2 linked regions of the Arabidopsis thaliana genome follow. The protein of the gene in region 1 interacts with the protein of each later gene in a pairwise test. Each region holds a gene or a part of one and is shown on either strand. Other genes may lie near its edges. The genes, in order: ARF9 and IAA18.

Region 1 (6,984 bases):
TTTTAATGGTACAATTAAATTTAAACTTCTCTATATATGGAAAGAAAAAAAGAAAAAAAAGAAGAGGAAAAGATAGGGATTGTGAGATCCACTGCCTTCACAAATCTCGGCAATAAATAACCTACATCATCACTTCATTATCTCGGCAGTAAATAACGTCATTAACTATGAACGGTATCGACGTATTAGTAAAGAGATTCGTATAGGTGTATTTATGTGGTACGTATATAAATATTGGACCGTCAGAAAATATAGATATTTGGACCAAGCAACCAGATATGCACGATTTTTTTTCCCCAAATGATACACTAATTAAAATTAGATTGAACTTATATGTTGGATAATCATTATCTAATCTTTCGTATGTGGGATTTAGAATAATATCCTAACATTTTCTACACACTTGTCATAATCAAAGAAATACTATATGTACATATTATAAAGACAAACTTCACAATTTATAATCTCACCAGATCAGCATGTGTTATACTATGTTGACATATTGTAGTTGTTTTGCAGCGAGAATGGTTGTACACGACATATTGGACTAATCCAAGTAATATGCATAACCCAAATGATATCTAAAGAGAAAAATAACTCTTTTTTCCTTTGCAGCATTCGATATTTTAATGCATGTGAGTGAATAGTGATATAAGGGAATGATACACTTTACAAACATAAGGGGATCCAGAAGTAGTAGCGAAAAGGTGGTCCATACTTCATACAATTACGTTTGTGAATATGGTGGCAAGAGCGGCCACATACATGTCCTCACAGACAAAACATCAATAATCTTGAATCATTGTTAAGGTTAGTGGGAAAACCTGAAATAGTTTTAGGTCTAGAGTTTTGTTTATTTAACATTTTAAATATTGATAATATATGTACCTTTGGGGATTTGACAAATACAAGAAAGCCATGTTTGAAATTTTATATATACATTAAAACTTAGATGAAAAACAAAATCAAAGAAAACACAACTACGAAAAAGAATCAGAAAACACGAGAGCCATGAGGTATAATCCCTCTTTAATCTCTTATAATCCCAGAGTCCCAAAAGTCCTTCATCAAGTTATTCACAAATCTCATTCTCTTTTTTTTTTTTTTTTTTTTTTTTTCTTTCTGTTCGTTACATATTTGTTTCTCTTACACACAAGTTCCTAGAAGAAAAAGAAACTTCCAAAAGCCTATTTTAAAAGTAGAAAACCCTCTCCCCATAAACCCCCTTTCTCCATAAGAGGCTCCAAAAAAACGAGCCATTTTTTTTGCCTCAGGGGATGTAGTTTCTTGTTTAAGCCATGCGCAACAAAACACAGACACAAACAAGATAATTCCGAAAGACAAAGCAAATAAGAAGGAGACGAAGACTGATAGAGAATAGAATAAAAATTAGTTGGAATGATTATCTGTTTTGGAAGTTGTTGTTAGTGTTGTTTCAACTTCCCTTAACAGCATCCGGAGTTGGTTCCCAGGCGTCATTTTCTTCACTTCCTCTTTCGACCATATGAATATTCTCTTCACCATGTTGCAGAACTCACTGCACCACCAAATTAAGTCAACAGATATGAGTTTTGTGTAGTGATTCTATTGACTAAGAGATAAAGAGTAAGTTACTTACGGCCATGGGTCATCACCGACAAGCATCATATCTCCCTCATCGTCTGTGAACACTATTTCCCATTGATTGCGACTCCGCAGTTCCCCTTTTATGTCAAACAGCTTCTCAATGTCATCTATGAGCTCGTTGTACCCCTTTAGCGCATTTAAATCCACAGCCCTGCCCACAGGTACGCCTTGCATCTGCACCTGTTCAGCGATAAAGAATTCAGGATCCTGTTCAGTCCCGCAAACATTATACATAATGTGTATCTGTTTTGCAACTCACAGATTACACAATGTATATACACTTCACGGTAGCCATGTAGGCATATATATACCTTGGTACGGCTTCTTGTAGAACTGCTTTGCTTGCTTTGGACCTCTTTTGGTGATCCCTCCGCAGGTTCCTGCTTTTTCTCTTCTGATACTTTTGAAATCTCTGATTTTGGGTCTGAGTGGCTGTCCATAGTCGGTTTGGATATGTTGATTGGTCGCATGGGTGCAGTTTTCTCCTCAGGAACCGCTAGGGAGGAACTCATCAGATCAATTCCAAATAATCTATAATTAGCGGTTGTCTCAGGCTTCTTCTGCTCGACTGGGGAAACCATTTGGTCGTTCAGTGTTGAGTCTTTTGCTACATTTGACACAGAGTAAGAGTTATTTAGCCAGTCAGATTTCTTAGCATCCTCATTTGCATCACGATGACATTGCTGAGGAGAACTCCACTGTGAGGTGATGCACGATTGTGCAAACTCATGGGGTTGCGTCAAAACAGAGCTCCAAAGGTTTGAAGCTGTTATGCCTACATCTAAACACAGCATGTGAGATTTAGCAAGGAAACTTAAGCTATGTACTAGCAAATCAGTGGCGGTTAGATTGTGCCTCACCAAGTGCAGATACTTCACTAACTTGACGGGGCCTTTTGTTCTTCAGCATAACTGATTTGGGAACGTTTTCTGAATTTACAAACGGTTCAATTTCCCATGGTGAAACCTTATTGGGTCTTGAAATCGATGCAGGCTCATCCCAATGAACCTACACAAACATGTAGCAAACTGATTGAGTTTTCACACTTAATAAACACTTTAAAAAACATGTAAAAGTGGAAGGAATTTTACTTCTAAGCATCGCCATTTTGAGTCTTTCCAGTGAGGGGAGCAGTCTTTCACACCAATAACCGTGCCAGAATATCTTTGTAAAGAAATAGATGTGTGAGAATAGCTTTGGGGACAAAGTGCAGGATACATAACAAAGAAAAAATTCAGACTACCTTCTTTCAGGGGAATCCTCTCCCTCAAAACGCATCTTAAATCTCATCCCTACAGAGAACTTATTGCTCATGGCTTCTAGATATTTGTTCAAGCTAATGATGAATTGGCTTGTCCTGCTCAAACCGAGAGTAATTCGATAAGCAGAATGTCGAAAAAACTCACCTCAGATATTCCCATAGAGTAATAACTGTCTACCTTGGTTTATAGTATACAATGAACATAGTTTTCGTTTGAGTAGCATGGCGTGCAGTAGCAAGCACTCCCAGATGCATACTATGACTTGATATAACGGATGAAGGCATACTGCTCTGTTGAAGATTAGCACGTCTGACTCCAACTCGCAACTCTCCGTTCTCCCCTCTGGAAAATATAATATAGCTTGGAAGTTCAAAATCTACCAATGGACCATCAAAAGAAACAAAACAAGGTAGCAGCGTGAAGTATAATACCTCAGGAATACAAAGGTGTCCCCAGCAACCAATCTCTTTGATGTAACAAAGGTGCTCCACCCTGTCGTCAATAGATGCCTCCGTGGTTGGCCTGTTTAATGAATTATCATTCATTTTATACAATTATCATGGATACATAAAGTTTGATCTGAGTTAACAAGAAATGGATTCACCACCTCTAAAAATATGCTTGAATTTCCACTGATAACCGTGCACATCTTCGGCTACTAACTCCTGGGTCGGGGTTTGCTGAGTCATATCCTAAAGGATAAGAACATAAGAAATTCATATCAAAGGCCATTTTGGTGGGAAACAAAGCACAAATAGTAAGCGTGTCCTAATACCAGCGGAGGAAGACATTCCGTGGCATGTTTCCTTAGAACAGAAAAGCCACCATGGGTGCTTGTATCAGACGCTGTCAAAACCTTGCTGAAAGAGTGAACTTTCGGCCTTTGCAACTCAGGAGGAGAGGGATCAGGACTCATAGGTTCATCAACTTCCTACAGTTTACATTTAGAGATCCACTAAACATTGAATTTAAGGAAGTTGCAACAACAAAAACAATCAAGTGATCTAATTGTGTCACTCACAGTTCCAACAGGGATCAAAGTAATCTGAGCATAGACCTCATCCGTATCTTTCTCCGCCTGACAAGAACAGAAATGAAGAAATCAAACAAGATCCAGAACTTCCACTCATATTTAGTCTAATCATTTCCAGCTTCTTCATAGATTTTCTACAATATCCATCTATATATATTGCTTTAACTAATGGACGACACATCATCAGATAAATTCGGTTTTGCTAAATGTGGAAAGTATACCTGAAGACTAACGTTCATAACATTGCAGAGAATCTTAGGAGGAAGAACAAAAAGAGGCTTCATCGTATTTAAGTCGACTTGTTGCGTTGACGCTTCGAGCTGAACCACCAAAAATAGAAATGTTTCATTAAAAAAAATCTTTCTCAAAATTTCACCGATCTAAAAGAGAAGCTGCTTACTTGTTCCATGTGACCTTGAGGAAAATAATAAACTCTTTCTTGAGCTTGAGGAACATCAACAAGAGGTCCCGCGCATAATTTCCATAACTCATCGTACAGATATTCACCTGTTTCACCACACAATGTACACCGGTTAATTTCGCCGGTAATGTCGCCGGAAAATTGAAGAAAAAAACAAAACTCCGGTCAATTTCTCACCTCCGCGATTTGCCATCAGCTGATTAAATCTTCTATCAGTCACACCAAAACACACAGTCTCTCTATCTCTCTCCGATGAAGAACCGGAAGCTGAAACAGTCGAAAATAAAAGAAGGGTGCGTAATAAAGTGAGGAATTAAATTGAAGAAGAAGGTCCCTTGGATTCCGTCTCCACGTTTTCTTGTTCTCTAATGCATGTAAGTAACGATCGAGAGAGATCTGAATCGTAACGCAACGCAATCCTTCCTGCTCTGTAACTGTAACCTCTCTAATTTCTCTCCCGTAAAACCAGCTTCTATCGTCTTCGTCTCCCAAACAAAGAAGACTAAACTCTTTTTTTTTGTCTCTCTTCGTCACTATAATCGTCAAACAACGCCGTTACAAGAAAGAATCTCTCACTCGCTTCTCTCCCGTCTTTAAGTTAACACCTCCGTTTGCTTTTATCTCCGTTTCACTCTCTCTTTTTTCAATACTTTTATTTTTAATAAATTGATTTTATATGTATGTCTAAAATTGGACACCTTTTCGTATATAATAATACGCTATACATTAATTGTATAACCAATTGTAAATTCCTTACTATACTTTCTAAGACATGTTGTTATCCAGACAGTACCAAATTTCTAGGAAATAGCTTGATTTGAAGAAAGTAGAAAGTTATTTTGAAATTAAATGTATTGTTTATAAAAAAATATATGATAGAAATGCTTAGCACAACAATAATTGTTTTCCTCAATTTTTGTTTGATTAAATAAAAAAAGAGCTAGCAAAAAAAAAAGCGTAGCTTTGCTTCTCTATTTAAACCAAAAATCAGTTTTAATTTTACAAAAAAAAAAAAAACTTTAATTTCAAATTTATTTGGTTTATGTTTTAATACACTTTGATATTTTAGTCAAAAACAAATAAATAATGGGTCTATGATAAACACCTTTATACTGTATAATATAGAAAATAATTGGTTGTTTTACACTGTACTAATTGAAAGAGACTTTGTAAGTTATAATTATAAATAGCTTTTTACTTTTTTTCTATACGTACTAAACAATTAAATGCAATTGCGTTAGTGGATGAAGGAATTAGTATTAGTTACTGGATAAATCATAAATGTGTTGGCTTTTAAGGCTGGTACGGAGCGTGAGGGCGCGTGCCGTTGTCGTTACGGTAACAAAAGTCGATCAAGAGACATTAAACAGTAACACCCGTCATCGTTAAGAGTCCGTCACTTTTACCGTTTGCTCTTATGCAGGCAACAATACTGGCTAGACTTGGATTAGAGACGAAGCAGCTTTGACCTCCTTCTTTGGATAAATTACATTTCTACCACTAAATGGTGGGACTAACATAAGCATGTGGGAAGTGTTTCCATCTCTGATTTTTGTTCTTTTCACCTTTTGCAAGAACTTTTTTCCAACTCCACATTTTACTAATTAGAAACATCAAAATTTATTTGAGTCATGATATATGTTGATCGTTGCCAAACAAATATTATCCGGAAAAATTACTTAAATACTTAGAAAAAAATGTTTTGATTAAATGTTTTTTTTTTAGAATTTTGAACATTAATATACGTGAAATCTTTTGAACCGTTAAAAAATGATCGATGATGGATAAATAAGTAGATGTTATAAATAAGCGATTAATATCACTTATAACATCAAGATTAAGTTTCCTAAAAATCTTATGATACTCAAATTGAAGGAACTCAAAAAGTATGACAAGCGACAAACGAAAAACACTAAATAAATCTATTTTACTAATTTAACCAAGATATGTAATATAATAATTTTTGTTAGTATAGTTATGTTTACCATATAAATTCAAATCCTTATAATGTAGATATACATATATGTTGGGTTAGTTATTTATTTTAGTTTTTTTATATGATAAGATTATAACTCCCAAATATTTATTTCAATACAAAATTTAACATAATAATTTTATTTCCTAAACATTTGTACCATCACTAGTAGTGTAGTGCATGGATTTTCGTATAGTAAACTAAGTGCGATCTTTAGATGATCAATAAATTTAAATTTCTGCATCAAAATCGTATATTTGCTGTAGTCATTTGGCAATGAATAATGCCAAACTTTTTAATAAATAATAAGCAAAATATAAAGATGAAAAAGCCTATACTCCATAGTCCATATATTTATATACCAATTAACTAATTACTTTATCGTTTAGTTCTAATTAATTATGTTTAGTATATTACTAATTATGACAGAAAACGTCACGTATGACGTATTTTTGACAATTTCTGTTCCCTTTAAGGATATAAATAAGCAAGATGCCTTAAAACCCACCACCACCATCTCCGGATCTTCTCTTTCTCAATTTAGACTATTTTAATCGTATTTATTTTAGTAATAAATTGGTATCTTGTCCCCCGTATATTCCCCAGAGCTTGTTCAAACGAATCTCAACTGTAATATAGAATTTTCGTGTCCACTTAGAAAGCATTC
Region 2 (4,943 bases), on another chromosome or scaffold:
AGTCTTTGTCTGCAGCATTGTAGCCGATGAAGGAAGAAATTTGGGAGTTTGGTAATATGGAGACAAGAAATGACCTCTGATAATCCCATTTTTATATTATAAAATTCCCAAAATACCCATCTTTACTTGACCAAAAACTCACAACGAGTTTGGTAATACGGAGACAAGATTTGACCTCTGATAATCTTGTTTGAAAATTCCCATATTACCCTTCCTTCCTTGACCAAAACTCTTACCCGACTCTTGGTTGGTTCGGCTTTTCCGTCATATCGGTCTCACACGTGGAAGAACCATGTCCGATGGTTCATTATTTTCAAAAGCTTACTCTTTTTTTTTTGGTGTGGCAAAAGCTTACTCTTTTAAATAAGATTGAGTTTTTTTTTTTGGTAACATACGCTTCTTGTGATTAAGTTCATTTAAAGCAACACAATAATTCTTGTGTTTTTTATTTGCATGTAAAGGTAGACACAAAACTCGAATCTAAAATCAATAATTTTATTTGTTTAGTGACTGATTTGAAAAAAACGCAGAATAAACTAACCTGATTAAAAAAAAAGAGAGTTTATATTGGAGCTTACTGAATTCTATCGATCTAAAGTATAAGATGACAAAAAATTCCTCGTATCATTTGGGTTTAAATATATGATGGGATGGTAAATGGTAATTAAAGCCAATAGTAATAATTTATAAAATAATAACGACAAAACGAAATAAAGGAAGAAAATTTGCAAGAATAACTAACAAAAACTTATAAATTAAGAAAGTAACACAAAACAAAAAAACAGATATACTCTCTATATTATATATAATAATGGTATATTTACCCATTTTTCTCCACCTCATTCTAAGTCCCTCCTTCTCTCTTCACCTCTCATCTCTTTTTCTTTCTTCTCTCAATCTTTTTTTTTTTTCTTTTTTTGTATCACATAACAAACAAACGAGAAGGACAAAATAGATTTTTCAGATACCACTTATGTTATCTGGTTGCTTGAGTTGCCAAGGTTGTATCTTAGGGTATAGTTTTTCTATACATCCAAAATAGTATAGTACAACATTTTATTTCTATCCAAAATAGTACATGTTTTTACTTACAAACACTATTTACTATTTTATAAATTCAAATCCGATTTTAAAAATTCAAACTATTTTGTATGTAGAAAAAATATAGGTTTTTTCTAATAAATTTTATAATTGGAATTTATTTTTTGGAAAAGATATATAACAAAAAAAAAACAAATAGGTGAAAAACTAAACTAAATGTTACTAAATCATTTTACCTCCAATTCAACACTAAAATTGTCTTTTCCTTATCCTTACATGCTATTTTCTTAATTTTTATATATATGGTACTATATTTTTAATTTGTTTGTCAAATATGGTTATTCAGCTAAATCACCCAATAGAGACTCAATAGAGACTGAGAGAGAGAAAAAGAAGGGTTTCTCGTAAAATCTCCAAATTCATTTGAACTTTCCCAAACATTGGAATATGTGTAAGTCCCATAGGAGTAGGACAGAGTCGATAGGGGTGTGATCCTAACATACCAGAGAAAGATCGTCGAATCCTCCATTTCTTTTTATGGCAACCATATTTTAATTATATACTACTATTTATTAATTTAATTGGGTGTGATTTTTACTTCGCGTAATATAAATATGCTTTTTCTACATTTTCCCAATAATTTTGTAAAAGTGTAAAGTCTCTACAAAAACATTGTTTAGTCCTCCTTTTTTGGTCTAAATATTTGTTTAGTCCTATATCCATATTTTGTGACACTACTAGTATTATAAAAACATAACAAATTCTCAAGTTACACTTCTCGTTTTGTTTGGGTCAACCACACAACACCACAAGTTTTACTTGTACAAAGTAATTGTTTGTTTATGTTTTTCTGTTGTATGTATTTTTTTTAATTGGTCAAAAGAAAATATGTTTTAAATAAAAAGGTGAAAAAAGGCCTATGGGATTGGAATAATAAGATAGAAAACAAAATAGCATGCTTTGCTTCCTCCACTAAACTTCCTTTAAGGGCAGAGAGAGAGATAAAAAGATTGATTGCGTGTGTTTCACACCAATAAATCCCTTTATTTTTATTTTTTGGTCTCCAAATTTACTAACTTCTAATAATTTCCAATTTTACCCCTTATTTTTCTTCCTTTGGTTTTAACCTATTCACTGCATTTCCTTGGTATAAAATCCAACTTCTTCTCCTTCAAGAATCTAGAGATAGAGAGAGAGAGAGAACACAAAGTGGGAAAAAAGATAAGAACCCACCATAAAGTTTTAACATTTTTCCCTTCAAAAGGCGAAAGCTTTTGATTTGTATAAAAGTCCCACTTAATCACCTCTCTAGCTTCTCATTCCATTTCCATCTCCTCTCTTTTGTTTTCTAAGTTGCTTCAAGAGTTTTGGATAGTGTAGCAGAGAGATTTTAACTAATGGGTTTATAAAATTTTGTTCTTTTGCGTGAACAAGTTGTCAACTTCTAGACAGATTTTCTTTTTGAAGTGTTTTCTTGTCGAAATTCTTCTTCTTTTGGTCAAAGAACGCAAGATTCTTCTGTAGTTCCTCTAAAAAAAATCCTAATGGAGGGTTATTCAAGAAACGGTGAAATCTCTCCGAAGCTGCTTGACTTGATGATTCCACAAGAGAGAAGAAATTGGTTTCACGATGAGAAAAACTCTGTTTTCAAAACAGAGGAGAAGAAGCTTGAGCTAAAGCTTGGACCACCTGGTGAAGAAGATGATGATGAATCGATGATAAGACACATGAAGAAAGAACCAAAAGACAAATCTATCCTCTCTCTCGCTGGCAAATACTTCTCTCCTTCTTCCACCAAAACCACATCCCATAAAAGGTTTTAAACTTCTCATCTCTTACTTTTTGTTTTTCTCTGTTTTGTATCCTTCTCACATGATGATATTCACTTGTTATTAGCCAATAAGGTCCCATCTATCTGCATAAACTTTGTTCTTGTCTGCTTAAGATTGGATCTCAAAACTTTTCATCTTTTTACCCTTTTCCCATCTGAAAGTTTCAGTCTTTTTACTGCCCTAGTTTTCCTCTGTTTTTAACCTTGAGATTGTTCTTGTCTTACTAACAAGTTTTGTTTTGATGCCTTTGTGTTTTAAAGAACTGCTCCTGGTCCAGTGGTGGGATGGCCTCCGGTTCGATCCTTCAGGAAGAATTTAGCTAGTGGAAGTTCTTCAAAGCTTGGAAATGACTCAACCACCTCCAATGGTGTTACCCTCAAGAACCAAAAGTGTGATGCTGCTGCTAAGACAACAGAACCAAAGAGACAAGGAGGCATGTTTGTGAAGATCAACATGTATGGTGTTCCCATTGGTCGTAAAGTTGATCTCAGTGCTCATAATAGCTATGAGCAGTTATCTTTCACAGTTGACAAGCTCTTCAGAGGTCTTCTTGCAGGTAAATTTGAAACCTTTGTCTCTCTATTGATTATGGTTAAAAAAGGGTTGAATTTTGAACTCTAATTGTTCTTATTTTATCAGCTCAAAGAGACTTTCCATCATCCATAGAAGATGAAAAACCAATCACTGGATTATTAGATGGGAATGGAGAATATACTCTTACATATGAAGACAATGAAGGAGACAAGATGCTTGTAGGAGATGTTCCATGGCAGTAAGAATCTTTTCTTTTCTTTTTCGTTTTTTTCTGAATCTGAGTCAGCTTTTTGTTCTATCTAAAGGAGAAGTATTAGATTCCTAGTCACATATTTATTATATCTTAATCACAGTTTGATTAATAACAAACTTAGTTTGGTTAAGCTATTAAAGATTGTGGACTTTTTGATCACTAAAATTGATTATTTCTTAAATTGTCAGAATGTTTGTGTCTTCGGTGAAGAGGCTGCGTGTGATTAAAACTTCTGAGATTTCTTCAGCATTAACATGTAAGTGTAGGATTTTAATAACATTTTTTAGTTGTTTTGGTGACTCTTTTAAGTGAAGTTCTTAGAATGTTTTTTTGTTGTTTTGAAATTTGCAGATGGAAATGGTAAGCAAGAGAAAATGAGAAGATGAAGAAAAAGATCTTTTACAGCTTTTAAAGAAGTAGAGAGATGTTATTAATTGCATTTTGCCTTTAAACTTTGATGAGTTTTTGGTCTTGGAAAAGTTTCTGATATAAGTCTGATGTACATTCTGGTTTGTTACATCTTCTTTTGGCTTTTGAGATATCATAGAGTTTTGTTGGAACTCAAAGACCAAACAGTGCAATGATGATTTTGGGGTCTTGAGTAAATTTACAAACCCTTTTAGGCATATTATAATAGTCTTCTGTTTTTAAGTTTTGGTAATGATTATTCACACTTGATCAACACTTTTAAGTAATGTAACTCTCCCTATGTCAGCAAAGCATCCTTTTCGAAAAACGGAGAAAAGAAACAATCTTTTTCTCTGCCAAAAAGCTCTTTAGCTTTTATTAAATCTATACTTAGGGTATCCGCTATTGTAATGAACTATGAGAGTGAAAGGTTTTAAAACATTGAACAACTTTTCTTTAAATGAGCTGTTAGGACAGATATTCAAACCATTGTCTAACCACATCTTTCATCTTTGTCTGGACTCTTGGGCAACAAAATTACAGACATCATTAGATTATCATCTTCTGATTATTGATCTACATATTTGATAATACTTGATATGATATAGTTTCTATGTATAATCATCTCTAAATTTATGTTTCTAGTTTAGCTTTTGTGTTTCGTAGAATAGATATATAAAATAAAGGGTTGTTCATAAGCATATGTATTCATACGATCAAATCGTTTAAAAGGAAAAAAGGAAGAAAAAATTGGTGGGTATGGAATATTGATAAAGAGAGTACAAAATAGAAAAATTGAAGAGAAGTCTTTTTCGTTGAGAGTCTTGCCTAACTATTCGAAGCAGCAATATGAGACCTTATAGTTACTTTTTTCC

Evidence for each region.
Region 2: the proteins of ARF9 (region 1) and IAA18 interact in a two-hybrid assay, tested with the Arabidopsis thaliana proteins (one study listed by BioGRID).

What each region holds. Positions count from the first base shown.
Region 1 is NC_003075.7:12,449,143-12,456,126, reverse strand, and holds ARF9 (auxin response factor 9), read right to left. Parts: upstream 4,985-6,984; 5' UTR 4,536-4,984; coding exon 4,520-4,535; intron 4,429-4,519; coding exon 4,322-4,428; intron 4,242-4,321; coding exon 4,143-4,241; intron 3,967-4,142; coding exon 3,910-3,966; intron 3,820-3,909; coding exon 3,664-3,819; intron 3,581-3,663; coding exon 3,496-3,580; intron 3,411-3,495; coding exon 3,320-3,410; intron 3,231-3,319; coding exon 3,066-3,230; intron 2,984-3,065; coding exon 2,870-2,983; intron 2,791-2,869; coding exon 2,718-2,790; intron 2,635-2,717; coding exon 2,487-2,634; intron 2,408-2,486; coding exon 1,938-2,407; intron 1,807-1,937; coding exon 1,619-1,806; intron 1,538-1,618; coding exon 1,390-1,537; 3' UTR 758-1,389; downstream 1-757.
Region 2 is NC_003070.9:19,303,085-19,308,027, forward strand, and holds IAA18 (indole-3-acetic acid inducible 18), read left to right. Parts: upstream 1-1,996; 5' UTR 1,997-2,585; coding exon 2,586-2,857; intron 2,858-3,133; coding exon 3,134-3,429; intron 3,430-3,512; coding exon 3,513-3,645; intron 3,646-3,848; coding exon 3,849-3,916; intron 3,917-4,011; coding exon 4,012-4,046; 3' UTR 4,047-4,434; downstream 4,435-4,943. UniProt on the Arabidopsis thaliana protein: Aux/IAA proteins are short-lived transcriptional factors that function as repressors of early auxin response genes at low auxin concentrations.